3 linked regions of the Diceros bicornis minor genome follow. The protein of the gene in region 2 interacts with the protein of the main gene of each other region in a pairwise test. Links are inferred from orthologs where the notes say so. Each region holds a gene or a part of one and is shown on either strand. Other genes may lie near its edges.

Region 1 (9,800 bases), on a different chromosome or scaffold from region 2:
GCGCACGTTCAGGTCGTCCCGGCTGATGAGCGTCACCAGCTGGCAGTGCGACAGGTTGAAGAACTCCTCTTGCTTGGCCACCTGCGGGGGACCTCAGTGTGACGGGCTGCCCCTCAATCCCTCCCCCTGCCCCTGACGACCTCAGTTTCCTCATCTGTAAAATGGGCATTTGAATAGTCTGAACCTCCTAGGTTGTGAAGATTTAAATGAGTTAATACTACACACCACGCTTGTAGTACATATGTACTCAGGTAGATGGGCAAAGACACAGTGTACCTCTTGGTATCATTTTATATTTGAACTCTAAGAATGTTCCTTTTTTTTTTTTATGAAATTACCCTTTCAAAGAGCAGATTGACTCAAAAGGAAAAAGTAATAGCAATAGAATATTCTAGGGGAAAAAAGCAGGCTCTGAAGAAAGCAGCCTGAGGTATTTTTTTTTGTTTTTTTGCTGAGGAAGATTGGCCCTGAGCTAACATCCATTGCCAATCATCCTCTTTTTGCTTGAGGAAGATTGGCCCTGAGCTAACATCTGTGCCCATCTTCCTCTATTTTGTATGTGGCTCACCACCACAGCATGGCTTGATGAGTGGTGTAGGTCCACGCCCAGGATCTGAACCCGAGAACCTGGGCTGCCGAAGTGGAGTGCACGGACTTTAACCACCAGGCCGTGGGGCCCACCCCCTGAGTTGTCATTCTGACCCACTACTTTCTAACTGTGTGACCTTGGGCAGATATCTGAAACACTCTGTGCCTTGCTGTCCTCCTCTGTCAAAGGGAGATGATATTAATAGCTGTCTCATAGCAGGGCCACTCCCAGGGTATTAGGGCCCTGGAGAAATATTTGTCAGGCACTGGTTTATACACATAATTTCAGTCACCCCACATCAGCAGGTCACCACCCGTCTGGTACCTGCATTCCCTTGAAACAAACGCTGGGCAGGCCAGTGGGAGAGCCCCGCTCTGGGACCACTTTCCTGGGAGCACTAGGCCCCAGGACTAACAGCAGAGCCCCCTGGGGCATCTCGTCAACCCCACATATGCTCTAGAAGGAAGGAGAGAAACGGGGACCAGGGCAGCGGCCACCCCAGCTGGTCCCCGCCCCTGGAGGAGGTCTTTGAAATCTTCCAGGAAGGCACCCCAGAGCATACTTCCCCTAGGATAGTTGGGAAGATCCAGGGATCGCAAGGATGGAAATCACTCAGCACGGGGGCTGGCCCAGAGCCAGGGCTCGAAGGGCACTGCTTATTTGCCCGGATAAATAATCTTTGTTCACAACTTCCTCCACTTCTAAACGAAAATGAAACCAAGCAGTGCGGAAGGACAAGACTGCAGGGACCAGAGACAACACGGCGAAGGGTCACACTGGCAGTTGGCAGCTTGTCCCCGGGGGGGGGGGGGGGGGGGGGGGGGGGTTCAATAACTATTTGCTGACTGCCGGAAATGTGAGGCCCTGCTCGGTGAACCCCAGGTTGAGCTGCTGTCATGTTCACTGCGCCCTGTCCCCACCCTTGACCCCAGGGGAACCAGGGAGCCCATGAAGGCCTCCCTGTCCCCAGCCGTGTCCCGGCGTCCCCCCAGATGTGTAGACCAGGAGCTCAGAACCCCATCTTTCTCCAGCTCCCCGCCTCGGCCCTTCTCATCTCCAGCGGAGAGGGTGAGGCCCGCCTGTGCGTCCTGGGTCCTTCCGAGTCCGCCCCCCAAGCGCCCTCGGGTACCCCTCTGGGCTCACCTCCCCAAAGTGCATGTAGATGTACTCGCGGGCGCGCTGGTGCAGCTCGGCACAGCCGATCTGCTCGGCGAAGTTGGCGATGCCGATGGCGTTGCTGGGGTCCAGCTGCTGCACGAGGAAGTCGCTGCAGGCGCGCACCACGCTGTCGATCTGGTACATGACGGCGCCGTTCATGACGTGCAGCACGCACTTCTCGCCCATGGAGATGGACGCGGTGTAGGCGAACTCGATGAGGCGCTCCATGACCCTGGGGTGGATGCCCTCGATGGAGACCACCTCCATGCCCTGCTCCCGCAGCCCGTTGGTGAACATGGCCTTGAAGACGGGGCTGGAGGAGGCCAGCACCACCTTGTGGGCCATGAACTGGGCGGCCGGCACGTCCCCGTACTTGACCTGCAGCGTCACGTCGCACAGCTGCTGGCTGAGCCGCAGCTCGTTCATGATGCCGAAGGCCTGCTTGGTGTGGTCCTCCAGCGTGTAGCTGAAGGTGCGGTTGCCGTGCTGCGAGGGCGTCACCTCGGCCTTGCACTCCGTGGAGGCGTACATCACCGCGTCCCCGGCCCCCTCGGGGCGCTGTGACCGCAGGGGCAGGAATCGGGTGCGGGCCCCAGCCCCGCTAGGCCTGGCTTCCTGCTGCATGGGGTTCCAGGCCACAAGGGACAACACCACCACTGGCACTCAGGGGCCTGGAGGAGGGAGAGCACAGGGCTGGGGGCGGGGCCTGGCGCCAGGCCTCCTTTTTAAGGTAAAGCGACCCCTAGACCAGTATTCCTTGCCAAGCCGCGGTGCAGCAGCATCCACGTGGGCTCGCTAACTGTCCCAAGGGTCGCCAGCCCAAGGGTCCCTCTTAAAATTAACACAGGTCAGATGATGTCCTTCCCCTGCTCAGAATCCCCCCACAACTCCCTATGGCATGAAGAGTAAAAACCGAACTCTTCGATGACCCGCAAAGCCCCCTGCAGTTAGCCCTTCTCCACCTCTTCCCTTTGCTCACTCTCTTCCTGCTATCTGGTGGCCCTTCCCTTCCTAGAGCATGTCCAGCTCATCCTTCATCCACCTCGCCAACATTTATTGAGTGTCTACTGTGTGCCAGGCACTGTTCTAGGCACCCGCGACACAGCAGTGAGCAAGACAGACATAAACTGTGCCCCCCTGGAACAGACACTTGGGGAGCAAAGGGCCATAAATAAAATGACAGGGTGACCTGGAGGCAGTTACTTAAAGTCAGGTCGTCCAGGCCTCTGTTGGAGCCGAGACAACAAGGATGAACATATGAAGGGGGTGTGGGTGGGAGTTAGTGTTCCAGGCAGAGGGAACAGCAAGTGCAAAGGCTCAGAGGCAGAATGAGGAAGGGATGTAAGGAGAGACAATGACTCTTGAAGGGAGGGTTTCCATGAAACCCGCGGCGTCTGGAGGGCCAGGGCGTGAGTTGTGCTTTGAAAGGCCCCGCAGGGAGAAGTGGGGGATCTGCAGAGGCTCCCCAGGTTCTGCATCTCATCCTTCCGGGGCTCAGCTCAGAGTCACCTCCTGCCTGTTTTATTTCCATCCCCGCGCTCGTCGGGAACCGAAAGGAGCTCCTCTGCTCACTTGGTGAGGGCTGGCCCGGCCCTCTGGCGCTCGCCCCCGCGCATCGGAGGGCAGGGAGTGGGGGTCAGCGTTGTGCCCACCCTCGCATGTGCCTCGCGCACGTCCGGCCTGGGGCCTGGCACCGCGCAGGGGTCAGTGAGCGTGTGGCTGGCGGGCTGCCCGCTCTCCCGCGCCTGCCAGGGCACCCTCCTCCACCAGGCCACGGCGGAGGCCCCGGGCCTGCCTCTTGGTCTTTGGCCCATCGATCAACGGTGCCCGCTGTGCGCTGGGCACTCCCCCCCAACCACCACGAAGCGGTAAGTGGGGGACTGCGCATGCCCCGTCGGAGCCTCCACCGAGGCCTGGAGCAGGGAGGAAGTGACCCCGCCGCGGCCTCTCCACTGCCAACCCCAGGGCGCACGCCAAGCCCCCAACGCCCCGGGGTCCCGGGGCCTCCATCGGAGCGGCGCTCCCCGGGCCTCCCGCCCGGCTGGCGTCGCCCCCGCGCCACCCCGCCGGTCGCGCCGTCCAACAAAAGGACAGGACTCGGGCCGCGCCCTCCTGGCCCTCCGCGGGGCCGCGGGCACCCCGAGGCCACCGGGCCCGCGGCGGCCCGACCCCCGGCCCCCGGCACGGCCGCAGGGGCGCTCGCGGCCCGCCGTGCCCGCAGCCCGGGCGCAGGCCGCCTCACTCACCCCGCCATGGCCGCGCTCGGGCTCCGCCTCCGTCGCCCAGGCCCGGGCGCCTCCATCGCTGCGCCGGGGGGAGGCGCGGAGCGCGCGCAGGTCACCATGACTAAGCAGAGCCCGGCGCCGGCCGTGTCACAATAAAAGTCCCCGCGGCCCCGGGGACGACAGAGGGGCCGTCCCCCCCCCGCCCCCGCCGGATGTCGCCAGCTGCGCAGCCCCGGCGCGGCCACCACAGCGCCCGTCCTGGCGGCGCGGCGGGGCGGGGGACCGCAGCCCTCGGCGCACCCAGCCGCGTGGTCCGAGCCGCCGGGAATCGCGGCCTCGGGTTCGAGGCCCGTGCGCCCCAGTCCGCACCCGGGGTCGGCGGACACCCCTCCCCGCCGCCGCCGCGCTCACCTCGGCCCCCGCGCAGCCCGGGTGGCTCGCGCCGCGGGGGGGATGCACCGTGGTGTCACGCGCGCGCCGCGCTTCCGGGAAGCCCGAGGGGCCGCGGCCCGGCCGGGGGCGGCTCCCGCCTAATCGTCGCTGTCCGGGCCCCCGGGCGCCTCTGCCGTCGGGGGACCTCGGCTCCGGGGCCGCAAGGCCTGCGGGGTCGCGGCCGTCGGGTGGGGGTCGGCCTCGGGACGCCCGGGAAGGAGGCGGGGAGAGGGCGGAGAGGGCGCGGCGGGGAAGGAGCCGCGATTCCCCGCCCTTCCCGCAGGTGCCCGGCGCCCAGGGGCGAGGAGCGGGGCGTCGGGTGGGGCCGCATGGCCAGGCGCCCCCTGGCACCGTCCCTTCCATCCGCCCTATTTCGTGGTCTCAGCGCAGGGCTGCTCTCCACGGCTCACTCCTCCTTTAACACAGGCCTCACGGTCCGGCGGCCGCAGGATCCAGCTAGAATTATCTACTGAGTTCGGTTTTCCTTGTCTTTATTTTTTAGGTACCTCCAATCTAGAGGCGCGTGGAGCTCGTCTGCGCAGGTTCGAACCCCGGCTCTGGCAATCTCTAGCTCCCTGCCGGTGGGCCTGTAGCTTAACCTATAAATTGGTAACAATAGGGCCGGCCCGTCGCTTAGCGGTTGAGTGCGCCCGCTCCTCTACTGGCGGCCCTGGTTCGGATCCCGGTCGCGCACCGTGGCACCGCTTCTCCGGCCATGCTGAGGCCGCGTCCCACATACAGCAACTAGAAGGATGTGCAACTATGACATACAACTATCTACTGGGGCTTTGGGGGGGAAAAAAAAAAGGAGGAGGATTGGCAATAGATGTTAGCTCAGAGCCCGTCTTCCTCAGCAAAAAGAGGAGGATTAGCATGGATGTTAGCTCAGGGCTGATCTTCCTCACAAAAATAAATAAATAAATAAATTGGTAACAATACGAGCAGCTACCCGCCAGGTTATCGGGAGAACTAAATGCCCATGCTACCGCCCAATAATATGAACGATTGTTATTTTTCATGACAAGGGATACTGATTTGCCATTTATGCTGTTTATGCTAGAAAGTTAACTTTTCAATAAATGTAAGATTATTTTTAAAAGAGTCCATCTATATGAAAACTAAGTGAATAATAGAAGAAACGCTAGACTGAACAGAGGTTGGTGTAAGAAAGGATTCTGTCCACCTTCCGGGTGAATTTGGAGGATTCAAGGTCCCTGCTCAGTGTCTGGGATTAAATGGGAGGCCGGGGTTCCCCACCTGGCCCCTGATTTCTCTTGCGTGAGGCTGCAGTTCTGGACTGCTCCAGAGGGGTCGACATGGCGTAGTCGCGCTGTGCGGAAACCCGCATCCTGCTCGAACACGCCAGAAGGCAACCCCTCATATCTCTCAACATCAAATCTACAGGTCCTGTGACCCAGCGGTGACACTTGTAGAGATTTATCCAAGGTACACTCGCACACGTGCAGGAGGATGTATGTACACAGATGTTTATTTCCACCCTGTGCTTACAGGCAAAAGATTGCACTCAACCCACATGTCCCTCCCTAGGGCCCTGGTGTGCTAAGTGGCGGCACATCCATGCTGTGAAATACTATGTAGCCAGTGAAAAGGAGCAAGACATTTGCTCTACGAATTTACCTTGATTTTTAAAAATGTAAAAAAGAAGTGCTACAGACTGAATTGTGCTCCCCCTCCAAAAAAAAATTTTATGTTGAAGCCCTAACCCCCAATGTGATGGTATTTGGAGATAGGGGGCTAATTAGGGTTAGATGAGGTCATGAGGGTGGGACCCCCATGATGGGATTAGTGCCCTTATAAGAAGAGACATCAGGGGCTGGCCCAGTGGTTAAATTCAGGGCACTCTGCTTGGGCAGCCTGGGTTTGAGGTTCGGATCCCAGGCACGGACCTAGACCACTCATCAGCCATGCTGTGGTGGTGACCCACATAAAAAATAGAGGAAGATTGGCAAGGATGTTAGCTCAGGGAGAATCTTCCTCAGCAAAAAAAGAGAGAGAGAGAGAGAGAGAGACATCAGAGAGCTTCTTGCTTTCTCTGTACCACTCGAGGACACAGGAAGAAGGTAGCCATGTGCAGGCCAGGAAAAGAGTCCTCACCAGCACCCAACCAAGCTGGCACCCTCATCTTGGACTTCTAGCCTCCAGAACTGTGAGAAATAAATGTCTCGTTTAAGCCACCCAGGCTATGCTGTTAGGGCAGCCGGAGCAGACTAGGACAGCAGGACACTACAAAATCTGTGGATGTGGGGCCGGCCTGGTGGCGCAGGTGTTAAGCTCGGGGGGCCCCGCTGCGGTGCCAGGGGTTCCCGGGTTCGGATCCAAGCGCGCACCCACGCACTACTTGGCAAGCCATGCTGTTGCGGCGTCCCATATAAAGTGGAGGAAGACGGACACAGATGTTAGCCCAGGGCCAGTCTTCCTCAGCAGAAAAAAAAAGAGCAGGATTGGCAGATGTTAGCACAGGGCTGATCTCCTCACACACACAAAAAAATCTGCGGGTGTGCAGCAATTTCCAAGATACATTATTAAGTGAACAAAGCAAGATGCAGAGCAGCGCTGACGTTCTGTAAAAAGATGTGTTTACATTTCACCTCCTTTATCCACAGCACAGCTCTGAAAGATTCCCGGGAATTCCCACAGTGATGGACTCCAAGAAGGGGAACTAGTGCTTTCTGGCTTTTCTAGAATATGAACAAGTGAATAAAGCTCCTACCAGCACACCATCAAACAACCGAATAGCGGGCTGGGGTGTCTCAGGTTCCCCGGGAAGAGCCTGGAGGTTGGGGCGCCAGGCCGGGTGGGGAACTGGGTCCAGTCCTGGGGGTGTCCTGGGACGGTGACCCCAGGCTTCAGTGTGTTTGTGTTCCGGGAAGTAGGTCGGTTTGCCACGCGTGGCCCGTGGAGACTCAGGCCCCCAGGCTGAGTCGGTGGTCCCCAAAATACCCCCCCGCCCCCGTCTTTGCGGCTGCCTGCAGTTCCGCTGTCTCCCGGCAGGTGGCGTGCGGCAGTCTGAGCCCGGAGCCCCCCGCCCCTCCCCCGGGCCGGCCCTGCCACTCAGGGGTCAGGAATGCGCCTGGGGACAGCCAGGGGCCGCGGCCAGCGCGCCTGGAGCCTTTTTTGGGCATAAAAGGGGCCCTGGTATCGCCCCCGGCCCAGAATGCAGACCCCCAAGGGAGGGGGCCTTGCCAGACCCCTCTGGAGGAGCCAGACAGCAGGCCTGCACCTCCTGGGACCTGGGAGCCTGGCTCAGACACTGGGACAAGGCTTGAAGTTTCCTCTTCTGTCAAATGGGGGTACAGGAACCCACATTGCAGGGTTGCAGTAAGGGTAGGAAAAAGGTGTGTTCTGGGCCTGCCACAGTGGGGAGACTAGCCAGGCACAAAAGCCGTCATTGTTTTTATTTTATTATATTTTTATTTTGTATGAAGGATCTGACACCACACTCAAAGAAGTCTTGTTTCGGATAGGAATTGGTTGAGTCTCCCAGAGTCAAATTTTAGGGTGCCCTGTCTGGTGGTCCCCTAAACTGGAAAGCTGTGATTGGCTTCTTTCTTTCCATCATTTCCACACTCAATTCCTCAGTAATTGTGTTGCTGCCTCCAAAATCTACCCCTAACCCACATGGTCTGGGGCCCCGTCATCGCTCCCCTGGGCCAGTGCAGTCACCTTCGCCTTGTTCTCGTAGCTTCCACCTTCCCCCTTCACAGAGATCTGTGAACATCTGAACTAGGTCAAGTCCCTTCTCTGCCTAGAACCCTCTATGGCTCCCATCTCACTCAGAGCAAAAGCAAAGGCCTCCCGTGGACCCCTGGGCCACCTGCTCCATCATTTCTCTGCCTTTGTTTCCTCCCATTCTCCCCCCTCCATTGCTGCTCCAGGCACATCGGGATCCTTGCTTTTCATAGAACACACAGGCACATTCCAGCCTCAGGGCCTTTGCATCTGCTGTTCCCTCACCCTGAAATGCTCTTCCTTCGAGTATTCCCAGGACAATGACGTCTCAGCTCACATCACATGTTACCCCCTCTTCAGAGAGGCATCCCCTGACCGCCATCGCGTCACTGTATTGTCACTAGAATTATCTCCGTTATTTCGTCACTCCATTATTGCCTGTGTCCCCACCAGAGGGTCACTTTCAGAAGGGCAGCGATTTTGTCTGTTGTGATCACTGCCGTGGCGTTTAGCATCAATAAAATACATTGCCCCGCGTCTCTTCTGCCTCCACCATCTTCTGCTGCTTTTCCTACAAATTCCTTTATTTAAAGAGAAAAAGTCTGCAAAAATAATTTCTCAGGAAGGCAGCGGCGGGCCGGAGGGCGTCAGTCTGCGGCCGGTGCAGGCACCAGGGTCTGGGCGGTAGTGAGCGCGCCGGGGCCGCCGGTGGAGCCGCTGGTGTCCAGCCCGTCCCGCTGGGGCGACGAACGCTCAGAGCGGCTGGAGCTGCCGCCCAGGCCGGGGGGCAGCCAGCGGTGCAGGCCGCCCGAAACCTCAGCGGCGCTCCCCGACGGCCGGGAGGTGCCCGGGCCTCGACCGCAGGGGCGGCGACCACAGCAGAGGAGGCGCAAGAGCGCGTGGCGCAGGTCCCGGTTGGTGAGCGTGTAGATGATGGGGTTCAGAAGCGAGTTGGCCATGGCCAGGCCCAGGAAGGGGTCGGCCTGCAGGAGCACGGGGCAGGCGCGCGCCGGGCACGCCACGTCCGCCAAGAGGAGCGAGAAGAGGGGGCCCCAACAGGCCATGAAAGCCAAGAGCACTATGCTGAGCGTGCGCAAGAGCGCGAGCGAGCGCGGGGTGCGGCGCGCCCGGCTCCCGGCGCCCCCGCCAGCCCCCGGGCGCGCCCGCAGGCGCCGCGCGTTGGCGTGCACCTGACAGTAGATGCGCGCGTAGAGCGCACAGATGGTGGCCAGGATGCCGACGAAGACAAGCACGCAGAAGAGCACGTAGGGCTTGGCATAGAGCGGCAGGACCGTGGAGCAGGAGTCCAGGTGGCCCAGACAATTCCAGCCCAGCGAGGGCAGCAGCCCCAGGAGCAGCGACACGCCCCAGGAGGCGACCACCAGCGCCAGCATGCGCCTCCGACGGGCGGCGGGCGCGGGTCCCCGGCGCGCCATGGTGAGGAGGCGCTCCAGCGCGATGGCCAGGAGGCTCAGCACCGACGCGGCGAGCGTCATAAAGACGCCGCCTTCACGCGCGAACCAGAGGGCGGGGGACAGCTTCAGTGTGAGTGGCCCCGACAGCAGGATGTTGGCGGCATAGGCGGCACCTGCCAGCAGGTCGGACAGCGTGAGGCTGCCCAGGAGCAGGTACATGGGCGCATGGAAGCGCGGGTGGCGTCCGAGCACGACGAGCACCGCCAAGTTCTCGAGCACGATGAGCGCGCA
Region 2 (9,586 bases):
CAACAGTGGGAGAGGATGGGGAGGGAGTGCTCATCGTGCTCCCTTCTGGTGATAGCGTGTGGCAAGCTGATGAGGAAGGGACCAACCCCATCCTGCACTTCCAGGAGTGACTGCCCAAGCTGGGCCTCGAAGGATGGGTTAAAATTTGTCAGGTGAAGAACAATTTTGGTATCTAAGTACCCCCAATTTTGTAGTTAGTCAATGGGAAGACTGGTTTGCTCTGCGGAAATCCACTTTCGGGCCAACTCTAACACACACATGGCCAGAAACGCAGGGCTGGACACGTCACTCCCCCTTCCCTCGCTCACAGAGTTCATCATTTCCTTTGGGGCCCTGCCCTCAGCCGTCCCCTTCCCCCTCAAGCAGGGAGCCTAAGACCAGCAGATGGGCACAAGTGCAGGACAGCATCACGGTGGTTCAATGGCTGCCAGCGCAGGTCACCCTATCTCCCATCCTCCATCAAGAGAACAACAGCGAGTCCATCCACTGAGAGCTCACTGTGTGCCAGGCACAACAGGCTTCCCTGGGATTAGTTCACGGCATCCTCCCACATCCTTACTATGATCATCCCTACTGTGAAGATGAGAAGACTGAAGCACAGAGAGGTTGAGTAGCTTGCTCAAAGTCACACAGCCAGTGAGTGGCAGGGTTGACACTCACAATCCAGCTGAAGATCTCTACTTTAACCCACACCATCCTCCTCCGAGTCAACTGTGCCTCTTTCCAAAGTATGTACCACTTAATTTTCCTATATAGTTATAACTGGATTCTGAATATTTCTCCAAGGTCTTTGCTAAACATCAATTGTTTTAAAAACAGCTTTACGAGGTATAATTGACATGCAATAAACTGCACACGTTTAAAGTACAACTTGCTATGTTTCAACATACACTTACACCTGTGAGACCATCACTGCACTCGAGATAGCGAACACACTCATCACCCAGTGTCCTCGTGCCCCTCGAAATCCCTTCCTCCCGCTCCTGTCAGCCCTGCCTCCCACAGGCAACCCCTGATCGCCTTCTGTCACTATTAATTAGTTTGCATTTTGTAAAATTTTATATAAATTACTGGCATCTTTCCCTCAGCATAATTATTTTGCATACAGAACATGTACCAAGATAGACCATATTCTGAACCATAAAACAAAATAAAAATGAAAAGACTAAAATCATGCAAAGTATGTTTTCTAACCACAATGCAATTAAATATTAGAAATCAATAACAAAAAGATATCTGGAGGGCCTCCAAATATTTAGAAACTAACACACTTATAAATTACCCATGGGTCAAAGAAGAAATCAAAAGGCAAATGAGGAAGTTTTCTGTTTACTTTAATAAACATGTATATAGCAGTTACCTGGGACAGTTCCAAACACAGAATGAGCTCAGTTAAGCCTCATAACCATATGAGGAAGACATTTTCATACCCATTTTACAGATGCTGAAGCAGAGGCACAGAGAGAAGAAGTGACTTGCCTGGTCACACAGGTAGGCAGTGGCAGAGCTGGGATTTGAATCCAGGCCCTGGATCCAGAGTCTGGGCCTTGTATCCTAGCTTACTGGGAGGACACTGAAAGATTTCAAATGCAGGAGGAAAACTGTCAGATTCCCCTGACAGCAAGATCACTTTGGGACAAGTTCAACAAATATTTAGGAGCTAAATCTGTAGGACTTAGAGATATATTAGAAATACAGAGTTGAGGAGGCAGGGTAGAAAAGGAAGAGAGTTGGGGGTAGGAGAGCAGGGTTTGGAAGGCTCGATGATGTGGATGAGCAGGTGTGGTTCATGCCAAGAGGAAGAGATGCCCACATCCTGAGAGCCTGTTCATATCAAGGGATCCACTCGGGCCAAGTGGGAAGGGAAATGGAGGTGGGAAGAGGTCCCTGAGGAAATGTGTGAGCTGAGGGTCCACTAGGACATTAAATAGGAGAAAAAGAGAGAGAATGCTGTTCCAGGCCGAAGGAACAGCATTTGCACAGCCCTGTGGCGGTAGATCACGGTGTGAGGTGTACAAAGAAGAGTGACAGGGAGCACGGTGGGACCCGAGGATGAACGGGTAGGTAGGGGCACCCTGCAGGGCCTGGCAGGCCTGGTTAAGAAGCTCTTTTTCTCCTAGGAGTGATGGGGTGTTAGCAAGTGTTTGAGGAGTGTGTGGAGGAGGGGACTGACAGGGTCAGATCTGTGTTCTCACAGCGCCCCTTGGCAACAGGCGGGAGGCAGACCAGAGCAGACTCAGGAAGCAGTCAGCTGGCTATGGAGGTCTTCCAGGTGAGCTGATGGTTGTGTGGGCAGGGGTGAAGGCCCGGGGGGGGGGGGGGGGGATATGAGGATGGAGAGAAGTGGATGGATTCATAAAGTATTTAGGAAGCAGAAGTGGCAGGGCTCACGTCAGATTCCCTACGGGGTGTTTGGGGTTCTAGAAGGTCGTGGGATAGTCACCTGGCTAGTGAGCCCTAGAAGGCCAGAGAGGTGGGGGAAGTGAGCTCAGCAACCAGGTCTGGAGCTAGAAGAGTCCTGGCTGGGGCTTTTCTGTGCATCATCCGCACATAGGTACTCTCCCAGGAGCTCCAGCAACAGGCCAGGGAGAGGGGGCGAGTCTGGAGGAGAGAGAGGAGCAGCCAGCGCCCGGAGGGAAACCACAGCATGCTGATGGTGGAACCAAGGCAGAGGTGGAACCAAGGCAGAGGTCTCAAGGAGGGCAGTGGTGGTTAGTGTGGAATGTTACCCAGAGGTCACGGGGGACCAAAAACGTCCTTGTACTTAGTAACTGAGGCGGGCAGGGCAGGGGAGAGCGGGAGGACAAGATTTGGAATAAGGGAGGGATATTGTAGGCGGAGCTTCCTGGAAAACAAAGGTTCCAGGAGTAGCCTTGGGGCAAGTTCTCTGGAGGAGGGGGGAGGTGAAGGCCTTAGAAACCGAGAATTTCACAGCTGGGGCTTTGAATGGCTCATCTACAAGAAATCTTAAACCTCCTGGGCAATGGCGTAAGTGGGATAGAAAGGAAAAAGTGGGTCAGGCCTCCAAGTCTAGAAAAGAGGAGGGTGGCTGGTGGGCTACGGGTGGAGGCGCCCGCAGCGGTGGAGACCTTAAACAGCTGATGGTGGCCACAAGGAACCCACAGCACTACTGCCCCTCCCCCTCCTCCGCCCGCCCCCCAACCCCCCCAACCCCTCCCAACCCCCGCGCCGAGGCGTCCGGACACAGCTGGAGTCAGAAACACATTTTACGTGCCCCAACAAATGCATAACAACCCTCACCTACCCTTACCATGTGGCTTCTAGTTCCCATTCAATTTTTCCCATTTTAACGGTAGTCAGGACGCCCTACGTTATTTCACACACTCCCAGTGGGTCTCAGGCCCCAGTTTGAAAACCCCGTTCCTGGAAAAGCTGGGTTTCCCCAGGGACAAGGAAGTGGAGGCAGCGTTCAGTCAAGTCTGTTTACATCGTAAGGAGCTTCCAGATTGTTCCCGAAGGCTCGGTGTGTAGCGGGGGGGAGGGGGAGGAGGAGGAGGAGGAGGAGGACCAATGGTGGGAGGAGCTAGAGACAAAGGAGCCAGAGGAGGGCGGAGGGTTTCCGAGGGAAAGGCCGTGGGCGGGGCAGGGGTGCTCTGCGCGCTGGGCCTTAGTTTCTCCAAACGGGAAACACCCTGGATCTTGAGCTGGGCGATGACTAAGGACCCCTGTCCCTCTGAGACTTTTACAGCTTGGTCTGGCATTGTTCAAAACACTTAGAATTCCCATTTAGAAGGTGGCTTTGGGGGCAAGTTAATCACCCAACCCATGAATTAGATACTTCATATACAGATCTCATATTACGTAAAATAAGTAAAAAAGATGGGCTTTACAAAATCATGACGGGTGTAGCTAGGTGAACACGCATTTGTTCACCAAATCTCCGAACTCCAGACTAAGGGACCCTCAAAACGTGAAGGATGTAGTTTTATGGCAAACCGAAGGTAGATAGAAATCCCCAAGAGACTGAACAGACTGCGCACGGGTTTGGAGAATTTGCGATTGTGTAAGTGTCCATTTCAGCATTTCCTCCTGTGTAGGCGTAAGGACGGCACCAGCCCCGCAATTTGGGCAGTGGCCAGTGTTTGGGGCGGGGGGCGGACCCTCAGAAGTACCAGCTGGCGCTCCTCGCTCCCTGTCCCACTCGGCCTCAGAACCAGCTGCCTGGAGCCCCACGAGGTCCCGGCGGCTCCCCTTGTCCAAACGTGACTTCCACTTCCGTTGGGGGGGGGGGGGCTCCCATCTCATAAAGGCAGAAACCAAGGATCGGCCTTGCCTCCCCAAGCGCATGCCCTGGTCACCTCTCACAGCCCATCATGGACGGGCACCGCTGCACCCGCTAACCAGGCCAAGCGTCCCGGGCCTCCGCACATCGAGGCTCTCGCAGGGGCCTGTTGCCCGAATTCCAGGCCTCGGAACCCATAATCGCTGCCTAGGGCGAACAGATGCGGACCCGTACCCCTAAACCCGGCTCTGGACCCCCCAATCGCTACCCCGGGCCCTCAACTCCTAAACGTAGCCCTGAGCCTCTCTAATCACTGCCCTAGACGTATTAATGCGGCACCTGACCCCTCACCTCTGCCTCGAGCCCCTAAACAGGGCCACAAAGCCCTAAACCTGGCCCCGGGGCCCTGGTCGCTGGCACTGGACCCCTGACACTGCGCTGGCGGGCCCTCGTGCTGGGGGACCCGAAGCTTTCACAGCACCAGGACACTCTTTAAAAATTAAAAGTTGACTTGCGCGGATTTCATAAAAACACGAGCAGGGGCACTCAGCCCCTGACCACACTCCCCGGGCCTGCACGGCGCCGACGGCGAGGGACCGCTAGGGGTGCCGTTCAGCACGTCCGGGAGCGCGCAGGGCTGGGAGCGCGGGCTCAGGATTGAGCTGTCGGCACGGGGACAGGGCTGGTCCCCGAAAGCGCGAGACCTTCCCGAGAATTCCGGACCGCGCAGGCGCACTGAGGCGGGCGCGGCGGCGCGCGGCGGCCGTTGGGGGAGGGGCGCTCAGGCCGTTGCTGCGCGGGTCCGCGCGCGCCCGGGAGAGGGGCGGGCGGCGGCCAGGGCGCAGGCGCAGGCGCGCGGCCGCGGCGGCGGTTGGGGAGGGTGCTTCCGGAAGGTTCGGGAGGCTTCTGGAAAAGGCGCCGCGCGCTGGGCGGGCCCGCCTCTATATAAGGGAGGCGCGGGGGCGGCGCGCCAGTTGCTCTTGCGTCCTGGTGCTGCGTTGTCGCGGAACCCGTACGGTCCTTTAGCCGAGGTGAGGGGGTGGTTGGGGGGTCTCCGGGGAGGAAATGGGGTTCAGGGGACGGGCAGGCGGGCGCAGTCTGCGGGTGGCGGGGTTCGCTCCAGCCCTGGGAGCCCCCCGGCCCGCGGGCGTGGGGGCGGCCGTGGTTTCCTTTCCGAGGCCTCAGGCCTGCGGCGGCCCCGACCCTCCCGCCTCGGGAGCGGGCGCGGGTCGCCCGGACGCGCTGCAGGAGCGAAGGGGCTGCCGGGGGCGGCGCCTCCCGCGGCGGAGGGCCGTCCTCCCCGCCCGGGAAGGCGGCTCGCCCAGGCCGCCTCCGGCCGGCCCGCGGACCGGGGGCTTCGCGGTGGGGCCGGGACCCCCGGCTGCGGCCCAGTCGCCCGGCCTCGGGCCGCCTCGAGGCGCGCGCACGCTCCTGTGATCGCAGCGCGAAATGAGGTCATCCTTTGTCGGCCGGCCTCCTGCTTTCAGTTTTCCTCAATTGCGCTCTAAAAATACCTGAAGGCGGGTGAGGCTTGCGCCGCTGTCGCCGTCCTGCGGCGTGTAACGTGGCACGGTGTCCTTTCCAGATGCCCGAGGAAACCCAGACCCAAGACCAGCCGATGGAGGAGGAGGAGGTGGAGACGTTCGCCTTTCAGGCGGAAATTGCCCAGTTGATGTCATTGATCATCAACACTTTCTACTCGAATAAAGAGATATTTTTGAGGGAGCTTATTTCAAATTCATCAGATGTAAGTCTCATTACCGTAGAACTGGGTTTTGAGGTTTCGGTATTAACTTCACCATTTAGGGGCTCGGTGTTTAATGATCTGTTTTGTAATAGGCTTTGGACAAAATCAGGTATGAAAGCTTGACGGATCCCAGTAAACTAGACTCGGGGAAAGAGCTGCACATAAATCTCATTCCGAACAAGCAAGATCGAACCCTCACCATTGTGGATACCGGAATCGGAATGACCAAGGCCGATTTGATCAATAACCTTGGTACTATCGCCAAGTCTGGGACCAAAGCGTTCATGGAAGCTTTGCAGGCTGGTGCAGACATCTCTATGATTGGCCAGTTTGGTGTTGGGTTTTATTCTGCCTATTTGGTTGCTGAGAAGGTGACCGTGATCACCAAACATAACGATGATGAGCAGTATGCCTGGGAGTCTTCTGCGGGAGGATCGTTCACAGTCAGGACTGATACAGGTAGGCACCTGATAAAGCATTTCCTGGGTGAGCCAGTCACGTGGAGGGTGGGGTGCTGTAGGCGTGGGACCCCTGAGGATGCAGAGAAATTTGTGAAAACTTGTATCTGCTTGGTATAATAGGAGGCAAGCTGGTGAGCATGTGGTGGTGTAGTAGCGTGAGCTTGTGGTTCTGTATGGTGGGCAAAGCAGTTAACTAGTCTGGGACTCTTCCTATCTATAGTAACGGTAAACCACGTCTCCTGGACTTGTTCACAAATTGTTAGGTATGGTGTCCAGAGCTGAATTGATTGTATGTACTCTTTGTTTCCTTGGTTTGGCTGTTAAGATTGGAATTGAGTCAATTTCTCTATCTCCTTTTCAGGCGAACCAATGGGTCGTGGCACAAAGGTTATCCTGCATCTGAAAGAAGACCAAACAGAGTACTTAGAGGAAAGAAGAATAAAGGAGATTGTGAAGAAGCATTCTCAGTTTATTGGCTACCCCATTACACTGTTTGTGAGTTTGTGTGTATCCTGTATGTAGAAAACTATAAGTGATTTAACTGAAATCCTTACTCCTTAGATTTGCTGATAAGGAAAAGACCCAAACGTGTGTTTACTGGATTAGTCTGAATTCTTTTTAGTCTCACAAGGTACCAGGTACCCAGAGGTGTTAAGTTAGATCCATCAGATACTAATGAGGAGTTTCTTGGCTTCTTAATGTTTCCTAGCTTGGCTCACTAATTTAGGCTTTGGTATAAGCGTGCCCACTCCATTTCGCTTTTTTTAGTTCTGGAATGCAGAGGTGATGTGATTTTGTGTTTTTTGAAGGTGGAGAAGGAACGAGACAAAGAAGTCAGTGATGATGAGGCTGAAGAAAAGGAAGACAAAGAGGAGGAAAAAGAAAAAGAAGAAAAGGAATCAGAAGACAAGCCTGAAATAGAAGATGTTGGCTCTGATGAAGAAGAAGAAGAAAAGAAAGATGGTGACAAGAAGAAGAAGAAGAAGATCAAGGAGAAGTACATTGATCAGGAAGAGCTGAACAAAACAAAACCTATTTGGACCAGAAATCCTGATGATATTACTAACGAAGAGTATGGAGAATTCTATAAGAGCCTGACCAATGACTGGGAAGATCACTTGGCAGTGAAGGTGAGTCACTGCTGAGTGCTTCAAAGCTAGTCTACCTCTGCAAGTTGTTTCTCTGAAATCGTTAAGGGCTGTTGCTGGCAGCTTTTCCATCCCAGCCCCTATTCCCTCCCCGAAAGTGCTTTATGTTGTGTAATTAAGGTGTGTGTGTGTCAGGTTAAGCAGCTTTGAGTGAAAGTTGCTTGCACTGTGTGCTGATTTAGTGTGTATTTTATTACAGCATTTTTCAGTTGAAGGACAATTGGAATTCAGAGCCCTTCTTTTTGTCCCAAGACGTGCTCCTTTTGACCTGTTTGAAAACAGAAAGAAAAAGAACAACATTAAGTTGTATGTTCGCAGAGTCTTCATCATGGACAACTGTGAGGAGCTAATCCCTGAATATCTGAGTGAGTATGGTTGGGTATAAGGAATGATCACTGTCACTGGTTAAAGAATTTTATTCTGTCAACTCCAGATCTTCAGTATAATAAGCATGTGGGACGAAAAGTGGCTTATCTTTGGTTTTGGGGGTGTATTTCTTTGTGAATTTTTGTCCTTAGAATGATTGAGTGCATTTGGTCCTTATTTTTTCAGATTTCATTAGAGGTGTGGTGGACTCGGAGGATCTTCCTCTAAATATTTCCCGTGAGATGTTGCAACAAAGCAAGATTTTGAAAGTTATCAGAAAGAATTTGGTCAAAAAATGCTTAGAACTCTTCACTGAACTGGCAGAAGATAAAGAGAACTACAAAAAGTTTTACGAGCAGTTCTCTAAAAATATTAAGGTTGGTATAAACACATTCGATCATTAGTAGCTGTAGTCAGATAGGCTTCTCAAATTTCAAATGATTTTTAACGCAGAAAATGTCTTCCTAAAATTTATTTTTCAGCTTGGAATTCATGAAGACTCTCAAAACCGGAAAAAGCTTTCAGAGCTGTTGAGGTATTACACATCTGCTTCTGGTGATGAGATGGTTTCTCTCAAGGACTACTGCACAAGAATGAAGGAAAACCAGAAACACATCTATTACATCACAGGTAACGGACAATAAATGGTACAATCACATCTTGGTTTTTTATAACCTCGTAGGAACTTTGGGGGTGTATTCTACCTATATAAGTTAGGTATTGATGAAGGCAAGATAGTTAACATGAGCTAGCCCATCTCTATGGTTAGATCTGACTAGACAGGAAAAGATAAAAGGAAATGAAACCATTTCTGTCCAAGGTCTAAAAGTAATTTTCCACTTTCTCAGGTGAGACCAAGGACCAGGTAGCTAACTCGGCCTTCGTGGAACGTCTTCGGAAGCACGGCTTAGAGGTGATCTATATGATCGAGCCTATTGATGAGTACTGCGTGCAACAGCTGAAGGAGTTTGAGGGCAAGACTTTAGTGTCAGTCACCAAAGAGGGCTTGGAACTTCCAGAAGATGAAGAAGAGAAAAAGAAACAGGAAGAGAAAAAAACAAAGTTTGAAAACCTCTGCAAAATCATGAAGGACATCTTGGAGAAAAAAGTAGAAAAGGTGTGTAAATAACAATGTTTTCACCTACATTTCCTGATTGACTCTTCTTAGAAGCTGTTAGATGTTTTTCCAAATGTATCATACACAGTCCCTTTCTCCTCATAAGGTCTGGAATAGAAAACTTGAGCCTTTCCATTTAGTAATGGCTATAGCTTGTAAGATGGTTAAAGACCTGAAAAGTGTAGGAGAATGTACAGGAAGAAAACTGTGAATACGTAAATTTGCAAGTAGTATTTTTGATCCATGAATACTTGGGTTCTTTAGATTTATTTCATAATAAAGTTGATTAGGTGGAACTGAAAAGTTAGAAACTTCTTAGGCCTAGTTATCACTTAATTCTTTGATTATAGGTGGTTGTGTCAAACCGGCTGGTGACATCTCCATGCTGCATTGTCACAAGTACATATGGCTGGACAGCAAACATGGAAAGAATCATGAAGGCTCAAGCCCTAAGAGACAACTCGACAATGGGTTACATGGCTGCGAAGAAACACCTGGAGATCA
Region 3 (10,087 bases), on a different chromosome or scaffold from region 2:
ATTTCCTGTGCTTCAAGTCTCACTAAATGCCTTGCGATAGCTTCATCCAAAAAAAAGGATAAAGAAACCAAATAACAGTTACTGAGTATTTAACATGCTTTTATTTCAAGGGATGTAGCTAGGCGGTTTCACAGACAGGATTTAAACACTGATCTGACTCCACCTTGTCTCATGTGCTTTCCCTCATCTGAGAGACTGTCAGAGATTCCAGGTTGTGTTGTGTGAGGGAAAGCAATACTTACAATTTATTGACCACTTCTTTTAAGTCATTTGTCTGCACCTCTCGGGTCATGATTTCCATCATCTTCTTCCTGATTTGGCGGACCTGCTGGTGCTGAGCATAAGAGGTCTTCCGAATCTGATTGTTGCGTTTTTTAGTAAAACCAACACAGAACAGACGAAGCAAATAACCATCGGTAGTCTTGACATCAACATGAGCTTCAATCATGGTCTAGTGAAAAGAAGACACTGTCAGACACACCAGGTTTTAATGTTATCAATTTCATCCCTTAAACTCTAATATAAAAAAGCTGGAAGATCAAGTATTCATCACACAATATAAAGCATAAGTTACATGTCTAATTTACAGAATTAACTTCCTTGTAATCTTACATTACCCCAAATCCTTACTATCCTTCATATCCAATTAAATAAATACCACAGCCTCTCAACTGTCTTCCCTCCTCCTCTCTAGGTGACTTCTCTATCCCCACTATCACTGTATCAACAGCATCCACTCCACACCTTGTACATATACATGCCAGCCTCTAACAGCCTGCCCTCCCCTCTAATCAACTGTACAACTCCGCAAGATAAGAGGAAAACAGGTTCTAAGAGAGACTCTACAATAAAGACATCTGCACTTCTTTTTTTTTTGCTGAGGAAGATTAGCCCTGCGCTAACATCTGTGCCAATCTTCCTCTTTGTTTTTTTCTTTTTTTTTATGAGGAAGATCAGCCCTGAGCTAACATCTGCCAATCCTCCTCTTTTTGCTGAGGAAGACTGGCCCTGGGCTAACATCCATGCCCATCTTCCTCCACTTTATATGGGACACTGCCACAGCATGGCTTGCGAAGCAGGGCATTGGTGCACGCTCGGGACCCAAACCGGCGAACCCCGGGCCGCTGCAGCGGAGCGCACGCACTTAACCGCTTGCACCACTGGGCTGGCCCCTCCAATCTTCCTCTTTGTGGGTCGCTGCCACAGCATAACTGACGAGTGGTGTAGGTCCCCGCCAGGATCTGAACCTGCAAACCCCGGCTGCCAAAGCGGAGTGCACTGAACTTAACCCCTACGCCATGGGGCCGGCCCTGCTCCACCGTTTTAAAAAATGTGTTCTGAATAGGTGAAATGTTGTTGTAACAATACTAAAATGCACATATTTTTAAATGGTCTTTATGTTCCAAACTAAATCCATGCCTAGGATTAAATATTCAATTTCACAGTTAAAACAGAATAAAAATATCCATAATTAGTCATATTATTGCCTAAACTTAAAAAACAATCTTATGGCCGGCCAGGTGGCATAGTGGTTAAGTTCGTGCACTCAGCTTCGGCGGCCCAGGGTTTGCAGGTTCGGATCCCAGGCACAGACCTACACGCCACTCAAGCCATGCTGTGGCGGCATTCCACATATCAAGTAGAGGAAGATGGGCAGCAAATGTTAGCTCAGGGCTAATCTTCCTCACCAGAAGAAAAGAACAATCTCAGGTAGTGACTGAATTGTCTTCTTTGCATTTTGTAAATTTTATACCTCAGTTTAAAAAATGAATATAATACAATGATAGCCAAAGGATCTTAAATATTTCCAGAAATGCAACCATAAAACCTTAGGGGAATGTCAGAAATAAATGTAACGGTATAATCAGTATGTATCATCTGGGACCGAAACATCTTGTCATCATTCATTCCCACATACAAAATATCCCCAAACTGGATGGTTAGCCAGACACATCTGAACCAATGTAATTATTTCCTGTAATAATACCACTGTTCACTAAATCTTTCTGTGCCAAGCACTATACTAAGCATGTTTAAATGGATCTTTTATTTCATCCTCATAACTCCATGAGATGATACTCTTACCTACATTTTACAGATAAAGAAACTAAGGCTTAGGAAGCTTTAAGTTACTTGCCAAAGAGAACACAACTGGGAAATGAAGCCAAGATTTCAACCTCACACCAGAGACTCTCCCACTCCTATTATGCTATATTACCAGAGGTAATCAAGACTAGCCCAATCCACCCTTTCACTATAAAATTCACTGAGTTTCGAGGTCTAAAGATATTCTCAAGATAGGCGAAAACTGCAAACCTGCACCTAGACCCCAACCAGCCACTAATACATGCAGCAAGAAAACTAACTTTGACGATAACCCAGGATTAAATCTTGAACTCAATTTAAACGAATAGGAGGAACATGGCTTGCTCAGCTGTTGCTCAAGTTCAGGAGTGACAATCCCACAGTCAGCACTCAATAATAGCAAGAAAACATCCAGGATTTAAAATGAAACCTAAACCTCAATCACATGATTTGCTCCTTCCTGTCATTACACCATGACATTCTTGGTCATGCCAGCCACATGACCATGCACTCTAAAACTTCTGTTCTCACCTGCCACTTTTTGACCATGGAGCACATTTTGTCACGAGTAAGATCCATGCCATGGAAGTTAGTTAGGCAGTTTTTGCCCTGAACATCCTCAGTAATTAGCTTGAATTTTCTAAAGGCAACTTCATCATTCTGCAGATCAGCAAGGCTCACTTCAAAAACACGACCCTTGAGGCCATCAGATGCGATTTCTATAAAACAAGAATCAATTGTCTTAACATTAGGAACCACAAAAGCAAAGTCAAGCCAAATAAAATAATGCTCATACATAAAGTTGAGATTATTAAATTAATGGTAAATTATAAACACCTTAACTTTTTTAACCAAGTCCATCTAGACACCAATAATTTACTGACAGTGCTCATTAGAAGCACAAAACTACCCATGCACATTTTCTTAGTGATTCTAAAAGCACCACAATGCTTCTACAAGTGTTGTACCAAAAAACAAGCACCACGAGGTCCAAAGCTGCAACCAAGAGCTGACATTTCCTTCAAGTCTCACCAGGACCAACAGGAGACCAACATACACACGTCTCAATTTAAGAAAAATACAAACCAAGAATAAGATACTCACTGGTTCCTTGAGTTCTCGTGACTAACGTTTTCCCGATATTTCTTATATTGAACATAGCTGGTGCTTTCACATCATACCAATCTTTCTTAGAAAATGGATCAACCCTGGATTTAAAAAAATGCTTAGGTTTTATCGCAGATCACGTAGTTCTTGATTTTTTTTACTCTCCTCATTCTGATCATTTTAAAGGGCTAACTGGCATGTGGACACCAGAGTAAACTATTTCTCTCACAGTGAGGTGAGGGGCGCATTTGTAAATTTAGCTCTTCCCACTACGTCTGTTTCACCGTACAGACCGGATGCTTTGAGAAAACTATGCCACAAACGTACACACTCCCCACCCCCATCGGTCCTTCGACTACACAGACAGCAATGCCTCCAAATAACATGCACATCTCTCGAACTTTACTGGTACATGAAGACACGTACTGGTAACCCAGGCTCTTCAGGGCCTCACGCGAGCCTATTAGGATCTCCCAGGTTCCACCCGGCCCAAGCAGAGGAGGAGTGTAGGGTCCTGGGTGGACAAGAAGCGTGCCTTCCTCAACTCCAGCTCCTGGAGTGGCAGCGATTACCCGTGGAATTTACGAGGCCCGTGAGCACGCAATATGGAACATGCCGGGCTCGAGTCACGAGAACAATGTGGCTGAAAAGAGGAGCGCACAAGACCCAGAAGGCCAGGGGAAAGGGAGCCGGCCCGCCGCGACGCAGCACCCAGATCCGCCAGGCCGCGGTTCGGCGTTTACCAACCCGGCACGGCCCGAGCAATCCAACTGGCATCCTCGCCATCCGCCCCTCGCCGCGATCCAGAACCCGCCCGCCGACACCAGCAGGACCCCAAAAAGCCGGGGGACACAACAGTCGCCACTTACACTTTCTTCTTGGCTCCCTTTTTGCCGCCTTTCGTCAGGCGCTTGTTCTTGCCGACCGCCATGGCGCTGCTCAGAGAGCCAAAAGGGCGGAAGTACAACTCGCGCGAGAACTTACGCTGTACGGGGCGGGGCGCGCCGTCTACGTGACCTTCGATCCTGCGTTTTCCCGGCCTCAAAAATATCGCGAGAACAGAAAGGGCCACTCTTCCGACTGGAACTGCGCCAGCGCCCTCGCGTGTGGGGAGACAGCGCAGCATGTGGCGGGCCGCTCCCTGGGAGGGTGCGCTCCGGAGAGGGGCGCTCTGGCGGCCTGAGGTGCAGCCTTCTGGTTGCCGGGGCTTTCCGTGGCTCCGACGACCGGAAGTAAGTTTCTGTGGAAGGAAAGGCCCAGTCAACGTCGCTCAAAGCTGAACTCGCCGTCTCACTTTCAAACGTGTTGTTTCTCGAAGCGTGGGATTTGGAATCAAACAGCGGATCCAGGTTCAAATGGTAGTTTCAGCAATATTAAGCCTTATGACCTATGCTTCAGTTTCCCCGTAATTAAAAATGGAGATAGTAATATAATCTACCTCATAAGATTGTTAGTAGGGTTAAATAAGTATCACTTCGGAAATACTAGTAACGTTCTGGTTGTCGATATGGGTGCTGGTTAGTGGGGTACGTTCGCTTTGTGAACATCCATCAAGCTACACTTATTTGTGTATTTTTCTTTATATTTCTTATACGCTGCTATAACATTGAAAGAAAAAAAAAAGGTGGAGTGAACTCAGCTGATTGTTTCCCTGAGGGACTCTGGGTCCAGCGTTCCCAGATGTTTTGATTTTTCCAGAAAAGCTGGAAATTATTTTGTGTGAAAATCCCCAAATTTTTCAATTTTTGCAACTAATCCAAGAACAGGTTTTTTTTTTGTTTTTTTTTTTAATTGTAGGGGTTTAACAAGATAGCGGCCTAGATGTGGCCCGCTAGCTTCAAATGCGCAGCCCCCGGAAAGCTGGCGCATACGAGCTTGGTCCTCAGCCAGAGGTCTGTGAGTTCCCTTCTCTGACTTCCCCTCTGGCAAGAAAACCCATGACAGAGCCAGAAATCGACTCCCTCTCTCAATGCCCCCACAGCCTTTAAAGCCTGTAATACCTTCCAGCCCTTCTAGCCTCCACCCCCGCCCCGCTCCCACCGCCACCTTCTAAAACAATCTTCCTCGATCTCCAATCCTGTCCTGAAATCTTTCAATCATTCCATTAATCTCAGTTGCTTACAGGGTAAAGTCCAAGTCCTTATTTCATAATGCTATGAGTATACTTAACTCTACTGAACTGTATACTTAAAAATGGTTAAAATGGTGAATTTTATGTTACGTGTTTTTTTACCGCAATTAAAAAAATCAAAAGCCTTAGCAAGCCTACAAAAACTCTTCTATCTGGCCCTACTCATCCCTCTTCATCCTTACCACCTTTTAGCCTTTACCAGGTACCCCAACTCCAGCCATCTAGAACTATTTAAAATTCCCTGGACGAAACAGTTTTCTCTGGCCTTCACTCTTTTTCCCTCATCAGCAGGCAAATAGCTGTACATTTTTCAAGACAGTCAGCTTCATTGCTTCTTTCAGTAAGAGACTGATTCCCCAGACAGACAGGCTCTCCCTCAGACCCGCTCCTGGAAGACTTAGCACTACACAACTTCTTGTAGCTGTTGCTGAAAAGTGTCCCTTTCTCACTGTGAGCAGGAGGGCATACAGTGCAGTCGTTTTCTTATTTGTGCCCCATCTCTTAGCACATAGTAGGCCCTGAAAATGTTTGTTGGATGAACAAAGAAGAGGTAGATGCCGTCAGTGGTGTTCCCACTCTTTTGGACTTGGTGGATCAACCCAGATTTTCACAATAATTTTGGGAACCAACAGGACTGCAGTTTTTTTTTGTTTGGTTTGTTTTTAATAATTTTACTTATTTGTTTTTCCCCCAAAGCCCCAGTGGATAGTTGTATGTCATAGCTGCACATCCTTCTAGTTGCTGTATATGGGACGCGGCCCCAGCATGGCCGGAGAAGGGGTGCGTTGGTGCTCGCCCGGGATCCAAACCCGGGCCGCCAGTAGCGGAGCATGCGCACTTAACTGCTAAGCCACGGGGCCGGCCCAGGACTGCAGTTTTTAAATTTCACCAAGCTATAAAATGAAAACAAAAACAACTGCTGTTTACTATCAGCATCATTTCATTTTAAAATTATATTTTGACCCCCAAAATAAAAATAGAGGACGTATCATCTGAAAAGTCAGCTCTTTTAAACAAATAAATCAGCTTTATGAGAAACTTCATAAATGTTATTTTTCTTGTCTCATTGCAGACTGGTGAAAACTAGTGACCAGTGAAATCAATGAGTCCTTCCAAATATAATATTGAGTCTAATAAACTCTGTATTAATTCTATACTTACAGTAACCTGGACTGTGTGTACTTCATAGGTGGCAGTTCACTAGTTTAAAGCTTTACCGATGAAAAGTGTTGTAGACCCCAGGATACCTACTCCAGAATAAAAACCAAACTTACTTTTTTCCTGGTCTGATTCTTCTTTCTGCCCAAGAGTGAAAAAGCCACAGGGGAGGCATTAATGAAGTCAGCTGCATCTAGTTTGTTCTAGCGACACCAGCACCTAAGGGATTTGTCAGAGGTAGGTATTTCAGCCTTCAACTTTGTTTTGTAATAAAAGCTTTTTAAAAAAAAAATTGTTTCCCTGATACTGTTAGGTTAAATGGTGTAATCATCAGTTTTAATTTAATTATATTGAATAAAAGATAGCATAGGGGGCTGGCCCGGTGGTGTAGCCATTAAGTTCTCTCGTTCCACTTCCGTGACCTGGGGTTCACTGGTTCGGATCCTGGGTGCGGACCTACTCACCAGCGGATCAAGCCATGCTAAGGCGGCGTCCCATATAGAAGAGCTACAACTCTGCAACTGTGATACACAACTATGTACTGGGGCTTTGGGGAGAAAAAAAGAAAAAAAAGAGGAAGATTGGCAACAGATGTTAGCGCAGGGGTAATCTTCCTCAAAAAAAAAAGGAAAACAGGAGAAGAAAAGATAGCATAGAGGGTGTGAAACAATTTATTGGGTCTCAACTATCTGAGAATTTCGAAATTCAGATAGAATAAAATGGAACAGAAAAATTTAACAATATATCAAACCTAGTAAGGTGTTACTTTTGTTTCATTAATTTTCTTTTCATCTGTGACTATTAAATCCATCCAATGACTTTTGAATTTTGATTATTGTGTTTTTTATTTTTAAAAGTTCCATTTCTTTTTTAATTTATGTCACTTTGTAGTTTCTTATTCTTTGCAGGTATCTTCAATATAGATTTAAACCCAGTAACCATGATTGTTTTACAGTGACTGTATGATAGTTTCAGTATCTGAAGTCTCTGCCGGTCTGTTTCTGTTGTCTATTTTTGTGCTAGTTCTCCCTCATAGAGTCTAGTTTTCTTAAATTCCTAGTTATCTTTCTGCACTGCTTATTGCATTTGAAAACTTATTTGTGGGAATAATTTGAGGCCTAGGGTGAAGATGCCCTCTTCCAGAAAGGATATACATATCCTTCTGCTGGAGTCTTGCAGGCATTTAACAGCTTGTGGCTTTAGGCTTCCTGGGCAACCCAGGAAGTTCAGACCCAGCTGTAATTCCTTCTAGGAGCTGTGCTACTCTGGATTCAGCTCTTATCTTGAGGGTGTACCCCTTTAAGGTCACAGTTTATTGAGAGGAGGATGTCCTGTTAGACTTCACATGTTCTGTGGACCTGCGATTAGATTCATATCCCTGTCACCCAGAGTGGCTGTCCAAATAAATGTTCCAATTTTCTGAAACCAAGAAGTACCCTTAGGGCAAAAGTAACTTGGTATTTGTTTATATTGTGTATTCCTTTTTTTTTCTCTCTCTCTTCTCTTTTGGACAAGTAATTCCTTACTAAAAAGAATAGCATTTTAAATAGAATTTTAGTTTGGGAGCTTGGGATATAGTAGGTCATTTATTTAGCTCATGGTTAGAAATTTCTCTCATAGATGGAGAAATTTAAGGAAATCTTACTTTGTTATCTTAAATTTTAAAATTCTATATCTGTTCATCATCCTGATAAATGCAAATTTTAGGTGTTTTTTTACTGATGGCATTATTTAAAATGCTTAAATGATATTACTAAGTCCTAACCAGATTGCAGTGAAATCAGTGCTCTCTCATTTGTACTTGTTATTTTACAATGATAAGCGATTTGAAAAGTAATTTAACAGTATGATTCAACAGCCGTCAAAGTCCTGATGCCGTCTGCAAATATATTATAAGGAAATAATCCAAAATTGGAAAAAACCTAAATGTGTAAAGATAATATACAGAGTCTTAATCATGAAATTAGAAGATTAGAAATAACCTAAATCTTTAAAATAAGGGGATGGTTAAGTAAATTATGACACATCCACTTGGTAGATGGTTATACAGCCATTATAAATTATGAGTATGAACATTATTTAGACATATAGAAAATGTTAATGATAAAGTGGTCAATGCAGGATACAAAATTTATGTACATCTTGATTATAACTATACAAAAGACAAATGCAGTGAAAAAAGACATATCAAAAACAAGAAACTTTACCAGTTTAAAATCTCCCTGAAGGGCTGGCGCAGTGGCATAGTGGTTAAGTTCGTGCACTTGCTTTGGGGTCCAGGGTTCATGGGTTCAGATCCCAGGCATGGACCTACATATCACTCATTAAGCCATGTTGTGGCAGCGTCCCACATACAAAATAGAGGAAGATTGGACAGATGTTAGCTGAGGGCCAGTCTACCTCGAAGAAAAAAGAGGAAGATTGGCAACAGATGTTAGCTGAGGGCCAATCTTCCTCACCAAAAAAAATAAAAATAAATAGATAAAATAAAAATAAAATCTCCCAGGTTATTTGGTAAGCCCATCTATTCCAGACTCAGAGGAAATCAACATCCTTGTATTAGGGTGGCATTATTTTTTTCTTCTGTTCTTGTTGAGTTTCCTATGATATTAAGTATAAAATGAATAATTTTTAAATAAATATAAAAATGAGTTATATAGTGGGGATGTTTCCACAACTCTATGAATATACTAAAAACATTCAATTATATACCTTAAAAGGTATACAATTTATGGTATAAAAGGTATACTTTGTGGTATGGGAGTTATAGCTCAATAAAGCTGTTATTTAAAAATTAAAGATATAATTTCTAAAGTGAATATTATTCATGAAATATCCCAATGTTTGATCTTTTTAAAATTTTTAAATGCCAATCCTGCAGTTTTATAGTCAAATATCATACTCTGGTGGTTCCAGCTCTCTTTCCCTTCTCCTTCCTCATGGAAACCTCCATTCTCTTTAATACATCTGTGATACTGTGATTTATAATGTTGACCACTTATGAGGTAGACTCTGATAGATTAAATAAAATGAAGTTTTTTCAGGGTTTGTTAGGACTGCAGCCCAGGAACACAGATTCAGGCAGCACTTGAATTGTGTTCCAGCCTTGAAGGAAGAGGAAAGGTTTTATAGTCATGGCTAACAAAAGCAAAGAAAAAAAAAGGGAAAGGAATGTCTTAAAAAATTCCAGGCTCAAGGTAGTCATGGGATGAGGATTGGTTGAAACAAGCCTTTAAAACTTAGGAATGTAGAAGATGACCTTTGACAGGAATGAGGTCTCTGTCCCGATAATCTTATCTTCCTAGAGAAAACTTGCAGATTCATTTCAGGCATCTAATGAGTTCAAGAGTTCATCCTGAAGGTGGAATTTGTTCCTCTCCTCTCATGTCTCCCCAGCTCCATTTTAGTGCCTTAACATGAGAGACTCCCATCTTTCTTCAATTCCACAATAGTAAGAAATATGTATTTGGTCTTTGTCCCCATTTCTGGCACAGAGCTCCAAAAACCTTTGAAATTTCCTAAGAGCCGAGAGAGAAATAAAGGTGTCTTTTGGGTGCTGGCCAGGTGGCATAGTGGTTAAGATCACATGCTCCGCTTTGGCAGCCC

What was found.
Region 1: the proteins of HSP90AA1 (region 2) and KEAP1 interact in a two-hybrid assay, tested with the Homo sapiens proteins (2 studies listed by BioGRID). The link is inferred for Diceros bicornis minor from reciprocal best matches to the Homo sapiens genes HSP90AA1 and KEAP1.
Region 3: the proteins of HSP90AA1 (region 2) and RPS3A interact in binary tests that used the Homo sapiens proteins (3 or more experiments, as listed by UniProt). The link is inferred for Diceros bicornis minor from reciprocal best matches to the Homo sapiens genes HSP90AA1 and RPS3A.

What each region holds. Positions count from the first base shown.
Region 1 is NC_080769.1:8,738,270-8,748,069, reverse strand, and holds the start of KEAP1 (kelch-like ECH-associated protein 1), read right to left. Parts: upstream 4,541-9,800; 5' UTR 4,384-4,540; intron 4,281-4,383; exon of another isoform or gene 3,994-4,280; intron 3,887-3,993; exon of another isoform or gene 2,419-3,886; 5' UTR 2,372-2,418; coding exon 1,733-2,371; intron 82-1,732; coding exon 1-81. Other genes in the region: S1PR5 (sphingosine 1-phosphate receptor 5), read right to left, coding at 8,742-9,800. UniProt on the Homo sapiens protein: Substrate-specific adapter of a BCR (BTB-CUL3-RBX1) E3 ubiquitin ligase complex that regulates the response to oxidative stress by targeting NFE2L2/NRF2 for ubiquitination.
Region 2 is NC_080763.1:46,924,853-46,934,438, reverse strand, and holds the start of HSP90AA1 (heat shock protein HSP 90-alpha), read left to right. Parts: upstream 1-5,180; 5' UTR 5,181-5,274; intron 5,275-5,828; coding exon 5,829-5,990; intron 5,991-6,082; coding exon 6,083-6,449; intron 6,450-6,812; coding exon 6,813-6,946; intron 6,947-7,260; coding exon 7,261-7,581; intron 7,582-7,798; coding exon 7,799-7,964; intron 7,965-8,151; coding exon 8,152-8,342; intron 8,343-8,447; coding exon 8,448-8,595; intron 8,596-8,813; coding exon 8,814-9,082; intron 9,083-9,432; coding exon 9,433-9,586. UniProt on the Homo sapiens protein: Molecular chaperone that promotes the maturation, structural maintenance and proper regulation of specific target proteins involved for instance in cell cycle control and signal transduction.
Region 3 is NC_080750.1:39,539,357-39,549,443, reverse strand, and holds the start of RPS3A (small ribosomal subunit protein eS1), read right to left. Parts: upstream 4,169-10,087; 5' UTR 4,124-4,168; coding exon 4,062-4,123; intron 3,294-4,061; coding exon 3,190-3,293; intron 2,805-3,189; coding exon 2,617-2,804; intron 1,910-2,616; exon of another isoform or gene 1,837-1,909; intron 452-1,836; coding exon 243-451; intron 1-242.